Drosophila melanogaster: one gene and its partner. The protein of the gene in region 2 interacts with the protein of the main gene of each other region in a pairwise test. Each region holds a gene or a part of one and is shown on either strand. Other genes may lie near its edges.

What was found. The genes of interacting proteins can lie anywhere in the genome.
Region 1: the proteins of unc-119 (region 2) and CG7840 interact in a two-hybrid assay, tested with the Drosophila melanogaster proteins (one large-scale study listed by BioGRID).

What each region holds. Positions count from the first base shown.
Region 1 is NT_033779.5:8,302,887-8,307,241, reverse strand, and holds CG7840 (uncharacterized protein), read right to left. Parts: upstream 1,657-4,355; 5' UTR 1,558-1,656; coding exon 577-1,557; 3' UTR 501-576; downstream 1-500. Other genes in the region: Ostgamma (oligosaccharide transferase gamma subunit), read left to right, coding at 1-95, 174-336, 402-417; Scgalpha (sarcoglycan alpha), read right to left, coding at 2,079-2,190, 2,255-2,398, 2,470-2,580, 2,665-3,069, 3,142-3,701. UniProt on the Drosophila melanogaster protein: Plays a key role in early steps of protein N-linked glycosylation by being involved in the conversion of polyprenol into dolichol. Acts as a polyprenal reductase that mediates the reduction of polyprenal into dolichal in a NADP-dependent mechanism.
Region 2 is NC_004354.4:7,286,760-7,293,699, forward strand, and holds unc-119 (unc-119), read right to left. Parts: upstream 4,540-6,940; 5' UTR 4,034-4,539; exon of another isoform or gene 4,030-4,033; intron 3,919-4,029; 5' UTR 3,807-3,918; intron 3,637-3,806; 5' UTR 3,492-3,636; coding exon 2,986-3,491; intron 2,920-2,985; coding exon 2,747-2,919; intron 2,506-2,746; coding exon 2,387-2,505; 3' UTR 1,608-2,386; downstream 1-1,607. Other genes in the region: CG2059 (uncharacterized protein), read left to right, coding at 94-339, 413-586, 652-881, 950-1,087, 1,152-1,290. UniProt on the Drosophila melanogaster protein: Myristoyl-binding protein that acts as a cargo adapter: specifically binds the myristoyl moiety of a subset of N-terminally myristoylated proteins and is required for their localization.

The DNA of each region.
Region 1 (4,355 bases), on a different chromosome or scaffold from region 2:
GCTGGTCCACAAGTCGCAAAATGGTGGCGTGGCCTACATCCATGGCTCCTCGCAGGGCCAGCTGGTGGTGGAGACCTATATCGTCATGTTCCTGAGTAAGTCCTGAGTCTTTAGTCTTCACTCTAGTTCTGTTGACCATTTTTGGACTATTTAACTAATAACTTTGATTACAGATGCCATGATTGTGCTGGGCATGATTCTGCTGATTGAATCGGGAACACCAAAGGCTCACAACAAGAACAGGATAATGGCGATGACTGGTTTGGTGCTCCTCACCGTGTTCTTCTCCTTCCTGTTGTCCGTTTTTCGTTCGAAGGCGCAGGGTTATCCCTATAGGTCAGTCATTACTATCCTGCAAGCAATTTATCACATATTTAAGTTGGCTTCTCTTTTCCCCACAGTTTCTTGTTCAAATAGAATCGACTGCAGTCCTGTTCCAGTTCAAGTTCACCCTATATCGTTTTTGTAGTTAAAATCACCAGCGAGCACACATTTTTCGTGCGTGTAAAACGACTTTAATAAATTCCACTACTAAATTATTTGTACAAAAATGCGAAATGTTTCCAGTCTTCGGACTCAGAGCAGGAACGGAATGATAGCACGTCGGTTCTTTGGATATTCCCTGAATGTTTCCTGGTACCACTTGTGGGTTAGCAGAGCATTGATCGTTTGATTGCTGGCCACCCAGAGGAAGATCAATCGCCAAATCCTAACTGGCATGTAGAGATCGGCGATGCAGAAGTACATGACCACCTCGAGGAACATGTGCGGCGACGAAAGCAGATTGAAAAGCCCACCCTTGGGCAGAAGGTGCTTTTCCGTTTTGACACTTCCCGTCCGCGGATCCTTCCGCAGGTTAACTAATATCATGTTACTGGCATACTGCTGCTGCCAGGCGAGAAAGAAGACGCCGAGGTAGAGTATTTGCTGGCTTGTCAGCTTGTCGAGGCTGAACTCCATGGGCTTGGAGCCGCGCACAAAGCCGGAGGTATTGGATAGTAAAGCTATAACGGCTCCAAAGTAGTGCACATAGCCCACGGCATAGTGCGACAGATTGATTTTGCTCTTCTTGGAGAAGATTTGCACAAAATTGGTCTCGTAAAAACGCCGGGTGCACTGCAACGTGAGCATAAATGCGCCCACACAGGCAGTCGTTGAGTCGATCTCCACCTTCCGGTGACTACGTCCGCCGCCCATGATGTCCAGGAATTGGAGTACATATTCGGGCGCCTCCTTTTGCTCCCGAACGGTTGAAACGAGCACATAAAATGCCAGCCAGCTCCAGAACAGGGCAAATGTGTAGAAGTGCTTGAACCAGGACTTCGGAACCTCCAGCCAGGCCACCAAAGGATCCGTTTCACCCTTGAAACTGTGCTTGCCATACCGAAAGGACTGGCGTATGCTATTGGGCAGGTACTTCTCCACGAAAGTCATCAGTCCGCCAAAGAACACGATCGTGGCGATGAAGGTGCCGAACATCATTTGCAGCAGGTTGATTTTGTACCGGTCAAGTAGATTTTCGAGGACCTCAAGGATCCCATTTTCGGGTGGCGCCATTGCGAAATGATTCGGCACTATGCAGCCCGCAAAAACTGTAAAAACTTTCTCCGAAAAACGAAAACTTGCGGAACATTCATTCTAGAGCTGGAAATAAGAACGATTTTACAACCGATACATCGATACGTTGGCTCAAACTGAAATATCGATTTTATGCATAAAAACTGGTTTCAATTGAATTTAAAATTAGGCGCGTAAAGAATTTAGTACTTCCTTTTTATAAAAGAAAAGTGTTTGAATTCGACTTTAGCAGAGATGAGTAGGTCATAAAATAGTTAAAACGAAAGACTTCTAAAATATTATGCTTTATTTGATTGCCTTTATTCTTAAATGGCAAACTAATTGGCTAGTTTCATGCTTGCATATCTATATAAAATGATAATTACGATATGGTTTGTCTAGTTCGGCAGGTGTGAGTATTTATGCAATTGATATAACGCTCCTCCTCGATATTGCTTATTGAAATTGTATGCGCTCGAATCCAACACTCCTCAGCAGTAGAGCACTCGGGGAGATGTTTGTCAAATGTCCACTCCATTTCGACCCAAAGTACCGCCCTTATATGGCGGTGGCTTGGGACGAGCATAAATGCTGGAGTTTCCGCAGTCCAACTGGTAAAAGCTGTTGTTGGGACTACAATAGATAAATAGATATTTGAATATGAGAGTTCTGAATATGAATAGCTAGACAGCTCCACCTCTGAGATCTCATGCTAGTGTTGTCCAGTAGAAAATTGGGATCCTTGAGGCTTTTCAATGTTGTTATGGGCTGATTGGATTTGCTATCCGAACACTGAACCATCTGCACAGTGGATGCCATGGGATAATCCGAATTGGAAGAGCTGTAAGCGATACCAATCATATACAATCACTGCTTTCAATGAGCAAATAGGAAAATAAGAAGTGAAATCACCTCTCAGAACCATCATCCGCACCAGAATCGCTTGACGCGCTTTGCGGCGCACAGGACTCTTCGCAGATGTGGAAAATGTTGGCAAAGAAAAACTCAGAATGCGGATCGTAACTGAAGTAAACGAAAGATAAAAACAATTAAAGAAAATATAAAATGAAGAAATCAATTTCGTAATTTCCCAGTTGGGAAACTCACAACTTCTCGTGCTGGAAACACAAAACAGCTGATAGCATTCCGATTAAAATGGCAAAAATCATGCCCGGAATGGCAAAGGCAAAGGCGAATTCATCGATGTAATTGCGTTCGGGCACATCCTCCCTGGCGATTCCCATCCAGCGATCCTCTTGCCTCTGATTCAGATCATCGGGCATCTGCTGCTCGTTCTGCTTGCCACTGTGGAAGAGGATTTCCGTTGGTGATTCCATGCCCACCATTCGAAAGGCGCACCAGTCCAGTTTGAAGCCAACATTCTCAAAGATTTTCTGCACGGATGTGCGTTTGTAGGTGCAAGATGGCAACTTGTACAGTGGTCTCACTTCCTCCTGGAGTTCCTGCAGCCGCGGTGAGAACTGGGCAAAGCTGCCCACGTGGACAATGACTCTGCAATGAAATATGAAATGAATATAATAAGATAAGAGATTGTTATGGATAACTAAATTATAACTAGATTACCCCTCGCGCTGCTGCGGTCGCAGTGGAAGTCGTCCGCCCATATTCACAGCTGACTCCATGAAGACCACACTCAAGTCCTCCTTGCTATTTGGCCAAAGATCGTTGCGGAATATATTTCGTAGGTTCTCCCTTCTGCCGGGATCCATTAGGTGCACCCAATTCAGATTGTTTATTTTCATCTGCACGACATTGGGTGTGGGAAACTTGTGGGCGACAAACATTGTGACCACAACGCGTCGCGTTTCGTAATTCTGGCGATTAAGGGCGACCACATCCAGACTTAGATCCTTGCCAGCCGACGATGCTGGAGGAGTTCCGTAGAGGAAGCCGGCATGGTATTCATGGCTATACATATATCGCATCCAACTGGGCAAATCGGGATAATTCTTCAGCGAGGGTCTGTAGCGAAATTGCTGGCTGATCACCTGGTGTGTCCAGTTAAAGAGTTGCGGTTCGATTTTGTAGGTGAAGAGTTCTCCAACATTTGCCTGCAACTTTAGACCCTGAACTTCGTTGCAGATTAAAGCTAATACGACCACTATTAAGTTTAAAAACTTCATTTTGTATTTTATGTAGTTTTTTTTTTACGATTCACAAGCACATTTTAATTGACTATAAACAAATTGTTATTCCGCCCAGCGCAGAGGCGATGAAAAATTCCAATGGTGTGTATCTGAATGGGAGAGGACTACGTATATTCTCAGAACTTGTTGTTTTTGAATTTCAAAGAGCGCGCATGCGTGTTTCGATCCTTAAGCAGAGATATTTGTGACTAAGGTCAGTTTTTAATAGTATTTATAGGTTAGAATTGACTAAAATATATAGAGTAACTTATGTTAACATAAAAAAATCAATCAGAAAATGTGTTTTATAAAGTCTTGTACCATGAGTCCTATATCATATCGTAGTTTTTGATTTATTATTTAAAACTACATACTTAACCTATATCTACTTAATATTCGCAAGCATAAGAAAGTTTATAACCATTTTAAATTGCCTTTTGTTATATATTTTATTTTAATTCAAAATCATAGAATTCTTACTGCGATAGACCATTAATCGATATCTGCGGTGACTGTGAATGAGTCACTGTTTTGCGGAGAAGTGTCATCCCTAAATTGAGTTGACAACCCTAATCAGCTGCGGCATTTCGGTCTAAAATTCTTGGAATTAAATACGTGGCTCTGTTTATCTCGCACAAATTGGAGAAGTAA
Region 2 (6,940 bases):
CTTTAGCAAAGCAACGAACCCCCCTCGGCGGCAACATACCACTGCCCAATTAGTTTTCCCGCCGGTGGCGTGTGTACACACTGGGGCCACCAAATGCAGCGCCTGACGAAATCGTTACGTTCACTTCCATTTCCCGCGGGAAAGATCCTGCGAACCCAATTGGTGGTCAGAAGGGAGTACTCCTCGGAAATACCGGATCCCGTTGAACTAAGCTTCGATTCGTACACCGGCGAGAATCCAGAGACGAGTCCACCACTGCTCACATATCATGGACTCTTTGGTTCCAAGCAAAATTGGCGAGGAATTAGCAAGGCTCTGGTGCGAAAAGTTTCCCGAAAGGTGAGCTTACCAATTTATGCGTTTAGCCAAAGTATCAATGCTCAAGCCAATGTGTATTTATTTTAACCTACAGGTGTACGCCATCGATGTGAGGAATCATGGCGAGAGTCCACATTCGAGTGTCCACAATTCCAAAGCGATGAGCGAGGATTTGCGTTTGTTTATGGAGCAGCGCAGTCATCCGAATGCCGCCTGCATGGGTCACAGCATGGGCGGCAGGTCCATGATGTACTTCGCTCGAAAATATGTAAGTGTTGCGCCTTATGCACAAACTGAGTTAAATGTTAAACAATCATTTTTCCATTATCATAGCCCGAGTTGGTGGAACGTTTGATAGTGGTGGACATATCGCCAATTAGCGTGCCCCGTTCCACGGGCGAGATGACGGAAATTTTCGACGCGATGGTCTCCCTGGACCTTTCGCCAAGCATGTCCATGTCTGAGGGCAGGAAAATTGCACGGGAAAAACTACTGAAAGCCACCGAAGACGAGACCGTTGACTTTATCATGCTGAATCTCCGAAAAAATCCTGACACCGGCGCGTAAGTTTGCCACATATGTATTTGGCCTTTTTTGGGAACCGCTTTAAAATGAGATAATCTTCCTATAGTTTCTCTTGGGCCTGCAATGCCCATGTTCTTCGTGAATTCCTCACCCGCTTCGACAAATATCAGAGTAATTTGGAGGAACTGCCGCCGTACACGGGACCCACTACGTTCATTTGCGGCACGCGATCACCTTACATGAGGTAACTTGGATCCCGAGGTGCTAAGTAAACTAAACTAATTGAATCTTTTTGCCATCTTTATTAGACGCGAGCAATGGCCACAGATACAGAAAATGTTTCCCAATTCTGAGATCCACTGGCTGGATGCCGGACATTTAGTGCACTTTGAAAAGCCGCAGGAGTTTCTAACAATAGTCAGCGAGTTCCTGAATAGAACTGAGTAGACCAAATTTTGATATTTTAACCAAATGTACAAAGAAGTCAATCGCGTAGATCGACTTTAGCTAAATTGGAAAGTGAACGCTTTGTTTTTCTTGGGAACGGGAATTCAAATTAATTTCACTTCAGAACTCGAGAAGACATTCTTCAACGATCTACGCAGATCTTCAAGAATCTTCACCGAAAAGAGCGGGATAGCAATATATATATTTTTTTTTTTGATATAAGCGTTCTGAACTTGATGATTTTTCAGAATATAATAAATTTCTTAAGCACCTTTAGTGCACGAAATGCCCTCGATTTAACCCCCTTAGAAAAGTTTCAATTTATAGTGGTGTATGTACATTTAAAATGTAATTTAATTTATCATTCTTGTTCGGCGTGTAATCGTTAGTGTTTTTTTTTTTTTGGATTTCCAGTTACGTTCGTCTTTTTCCATTTGGTTTTTGTTTAAAAAATATACATACACAGACACGAAAAAAATGCCATGAAGAAGCTGATAGATTTCGTATGATTTCGTATGCTGCATACAAAAATTGACGGCAAATGGATTTTCCTCAATTTTTTTTTTTTGAAAATTTCCAATTCGCTTCTCATAAGTTCTGTGTGTGCGTGTGTGTATACGTACGTATTTTATATATATGTATTTGTTGTTTCTTGTTGGGTGTGTGTGTGGAGTGTCCTTACTTATTAGGATTAAATAAGTGTGTACAAATACATATATAAATCAAGGGAAATCACATAGCACTTAAAATTATATAGTCAAAGTGGAAATCATTGATAAATGAACACAATCCGCGTGCTTCAGTGTGTTGTTGTTGTGTTTGTGTGTTAGTTTCCGTTTGCAGGAGATCATATCTTGATGCTAAATACATCAAACAGGAATGGTGGGTAAAACTTTGGTGTGCTAAGGCTAAAATGGCTGTGATAATATTCCTCGATTCGATTCGATGTGTTTGTGAGTGTGATTGTTGACATTGAGTGGGTGTTTCGTGTGTGTGTGTGTGTGACAAGTCATTGATTTTGTCTCACAGCTTCTGTAGTTTCTAGTTCTTTAGTTATTAGTTTTGCTCTAGTTGCAGTTCCATTATAGTTGAGTTTCTAGACTATATTGCCGCCATCGTAGGCGTAGTCGGCTTTGTTGTGCATGACGAGTCGGTTTCCCACAAAGTAAAAGCTGTCCGAGCGCGTCTCAAAGGGGCTCGATATCATCTCAGCAACTAAAAAAAAATGGAAAACGAACGAACATATTTATGTGAATTGCATTTCATTAATAAGTCCACATCCTACAAACCGATAACAAAAAATAAAAACCATGATAGCTGCTCGCAATCTGACCAATAGAAGCCTCATCTCACAGGCGCAAATCGTAAACGACCTTGACCCACAAACCCCTTCAACTTTTGGCAGCAACTTTCAATTGCGTGTCATGCTGGCTGGGATTATGTAAAAATTGCTCACCTAGGTCGGGTGGAAGGTTAGGAAACTCGTAGATGTGCTCAACCGTATTCTTCGAAAATGGAAAGCAAAAGCCGAACTCAAAGTCAAACGTCTTTAGCAGGCGATCGCGGAAGAAGTGGCGTTCGATCATACGAAAATTATTAAGCGGCTGGCTGCCCACAGTGAATTCCACACTGCAAATAAGGGAAACTTACAAATTGAGAGGCATTTAAAACAAATGCAAATACTGTATAACCTACGTGGCTCCCACTGTTTTGAGGTTGAGAAATGCCGGTGTGAACTGATAGCGCACATAGCGTCCGGCATTTGGATCGGCAGTGTCATCCAGTGACAATTTCTCGGCAGCCGCCAGCATGGTTTCATCCGAGGACAGTCCTTCCGGATATTGTTCACTCGGCGGTTTGGCGATCTCGAAGAGCACAGCGCCGCTCTCCAGGTCGCGAATCTTGAACCGCGTGAAATCAATCTCGAACACATTTGCATTGGCGGAGCAGAGATAGTCGTCCGTGATCTTGGTCAGATGGAGCACCTCGTCGGGAGTCACGCTGGAAGACTCCGCAGGCCGTTTGGCATCACCGGAGGCACCAGCGCCCGCTGCTGCAGCTCCCGACGATCCTCCACTGCCGCCGTTGGCCTCCACTCCACTGTTCGAAGAAGAGGATCCTGCGGCCGCGGAGGAAGACGTTGTCACTGCGCCTGCACCGGAGGATTGCACCGGATTTAGTTGCTTACCCACCACGCTCATTGTGCACGGAATGAATCTGGTGGTATTATTTGTCTATAGTCTGCGTTTCGGATTTCTCAAGCTGAACAGCTTTTTTAAGGCTCCTGGCTGGATGGCTGCTGCAGTGGTATCCTTTGATTTGAAGAAGCTACTCCGCTGTCTCACTCTGCGAATAGAAAGGAATAGGCATTGGTTATTAGGGAGTAAATAATAAAATATAGCACAAATACTTTTGAATTTCTATTACTTCAAACTAAACTGAATAATGAAATATCACATTTTTTTTTTAACATAGCAAAAAAAAAAAAAAGAAGTCATAGTTGTTAAGTTACTCACCAACACAAACACACACAAGTGTAGAGTTGTCATAAATTGTGCCAGGATTTTCTGGTGGAAATATAAGGCTTCGTCTCCGCTACCCTATTATCCTTTCGCTTTCCGCTCCTCACTATTAATTTTTGCCAAATATGAATAGTTATTTGGCGAAAAGCACAAAAATAAGTTAAGTATAAGGTATATAAGTTAAAATAAATTCAACATAAATGCAAACACTACTTACCCACACGAATTCAGGTTGCAAGTGTTGCCATAACATTTAGCTGTCAGCGACAACAACGTCCACGACCATTGCAACAACAGCAACAACAACAACAACACCGAACCGACGACGACAGCAACAAATGAAATTCGTTTGAAAATCACCAGCAACAGCAGCAACAACAACAACAACAACAACAAATGACCCAATTTCTGAAAAAGCTGCGCTCTCCTTTTTCCTTTTTTTTTCCTTTGTGTTTGTTTTTCCCTTTTCGGTTCGCGTCCTTTATGCGAATGTATGTGTGTGTGTGTGTGTTTTTATATGTTTATGTATGCGCAGGGATTCATTTATTAATTTGGTTTTAGTTGCTGTTGGCACTGCCCGAAAATCAATTAGATCAATTTGACCGGCAATGCTGCTGGTGTTGTTGTTGTCGTCCGCAAAAGCAACTTAACGCACTTAAACGCTAAACATTGCACCTTTTTTGCCCACTTTTTTTGCACTACTCAGCAATCGATAGATTATCGATGATGCATTACAGGAAATCGGTGAGACCGTTCGCGCATGGGGAAAAACTTACGACCAACGTTGCCACATACTCGCAAAAAAACATTTCTGCGTTCTAGCAGGGGTCACACTGTTGGCGCAATATTCAAAATATTCTACATTTTACATCTAGAAAAAAGGCTATTCAGATTTTTAACATTATTTATTGTATAACCGAAAGTAAGCGAACGTTTGCAGAAAGCTTAATCGGAAATAATGAGTATAGACAAGTATAAGTATAGATTTTCACATCTTAAGCTTAAATTGAAAACCCAAACTAAAAAATAAAATGCATATACCCCCGTCACTCGCCAGAGTAAACCACTATATACAAAGCAAATTCGAAAAGGAAACACTTTGGAAGCGTGCAAATGTGTTAAATGGCGTGTTGCGATCGCCTTCCCATGCATTTTTGTGGCCGACAATTAGTTAATATCCATGCAGCAGACTGCCGCTTGCTTCTCCCGCTTCTCAAGTGCGCCGTCGAGTGGTTTCCTTTCCTTTCGCTTCCCCTCCCTTCGCCTAGAATGCAGATAAGCCCGGCCTAAAACTCAAGTGTCCTCCTATCCACATCCCATCCCATTCCATATACAACGCACCCATACTCGGACCCATTTCGATTTCCATATTCAGACGCACGGGCGCCAATGCCAGATCATGTTTGTGCACTGCGAGAAATGCTGGCTATAATATTATTTAGATCTATTTCGATTTTTCACGCTTAGTGAGTCGCTATTTTAGTTTATAGATTTCATGTAAATAAAATAGCACTATGATATTAAGATAGTTTTTTTTTTCATATTCATACATAAATGTATTTTTTTCTTTCAGTGCGAGACGAAAGTACTTGAGTTCAATTCTAGCTCCTCCTTTTCACATTTTCTCTGCTTCTTGCCGCTGTTATTGTTGGCCTTAAGTGGGTATTTTAATATTCGCAGCCGGAGCCAAAGAAGTGTTAAGTTTCAGGGGCCACATATGCACTTATCCCCCGTCCACTGTCCACTGCCCCTGCCCCTGCCCCTGTTTTTTTTTCTCCATTGGCGTCCGCGTTTCCTGTATTTTTTTTTTGTAGTTTTTTTTTTTTTTTTTGTTTCTTACATTGGTATTGGTGTGTATCTGTGTGGCAGCACTGGGAACGTGTTCGGCTCTATCTTTAGTACAGTTTGACTGGAGATCTCCAAACTGACCCCCCCCCCCTTGCACCGCCGCCCCTCACTTGATTTATCCCCCAAAAACTCACATAAAATCTGCAGACAGCCGGGCACCTGAGGAATATGCCATCTGACAGGCCGAAAGGGTCGACAAAAGATCCAAGGAATTCGCGGGATAATCCATCTTTTGTATCAGCGCAAATGCCATAGGCAGGATTCGGTTTCATTTGAGTTAAATTTGCTGTTCCATGAGATTAAATATTTTCGAACCAATTTTTAATGACTGCAGCAGGTGGCCAATTTAAAAGTACTAACTCTATATTATTCAATTATATCAAAGGACACTTTTAAGGATAATTTTATTCGCCCAGAGGATGGTAACCCAAAAATACTTAACCTGTTTTCTTCAGAATTTATATACATACTAATGTATATAAGCTTTTCCAAATAGTAGCTACATCCGACTTATCACCGATCGATTTACATTTACATAGCAAATGAAACTTAACGTTCGATTGTTAGTTGATGAAATTTGTTTGAATATTTCTTTCTTTCACGGACGGACCATAGAACTTTTCGAGCCATAGAACTCAAGTACCCCCTCCTGTGTACTTCAATGCGTGTTTGTGTGTGCGTCTGTGTGCCTGGGTATCGAAAACAAACAGTAGAGCAGCAACAAAAACCAAAAATCGTGGGCGATAATATTCGTACTCGAATGGCCGAACAGGGGCGTGGCACAAAAAAAGGGGGCTAGAAATATTTTCCAAAGCTTGTTGCATCTAATAAATGGGATCTTATGGTCATAGTATTACGTTGCTCACATTTTATAAAGTACTGCATACTTTCTTGGGAAAATGTTACGTCTGCGCAGCCTGTTTTGTGTGCCTTTTTATAAGAAATCCCCTTCGCAGAAGACGCCACTGACCCTATTCCAAGTGGCGATGACGTTATGCGCGCCGGACGGTCTGGCAATGCAATGCACACTGCACTCGCACTCACACACAGATACAAACACACCACACACACACACACATACTCCACATCGAGTGGCCGTTTCGGAGAGTGTGTTTTGCTGGGGTTTATTGCGTGTGTGTGTGTGAGTGTGTGCACACTCCATAGAGTAACACCTCCCAAGCAACGCGTTCAGTTCGTCAAAAGCGCCAACAACAACACGAATTGATACACTGAACAAAACACGATGATACTACTACACTAATAAAAAGTAGCACTTCAGC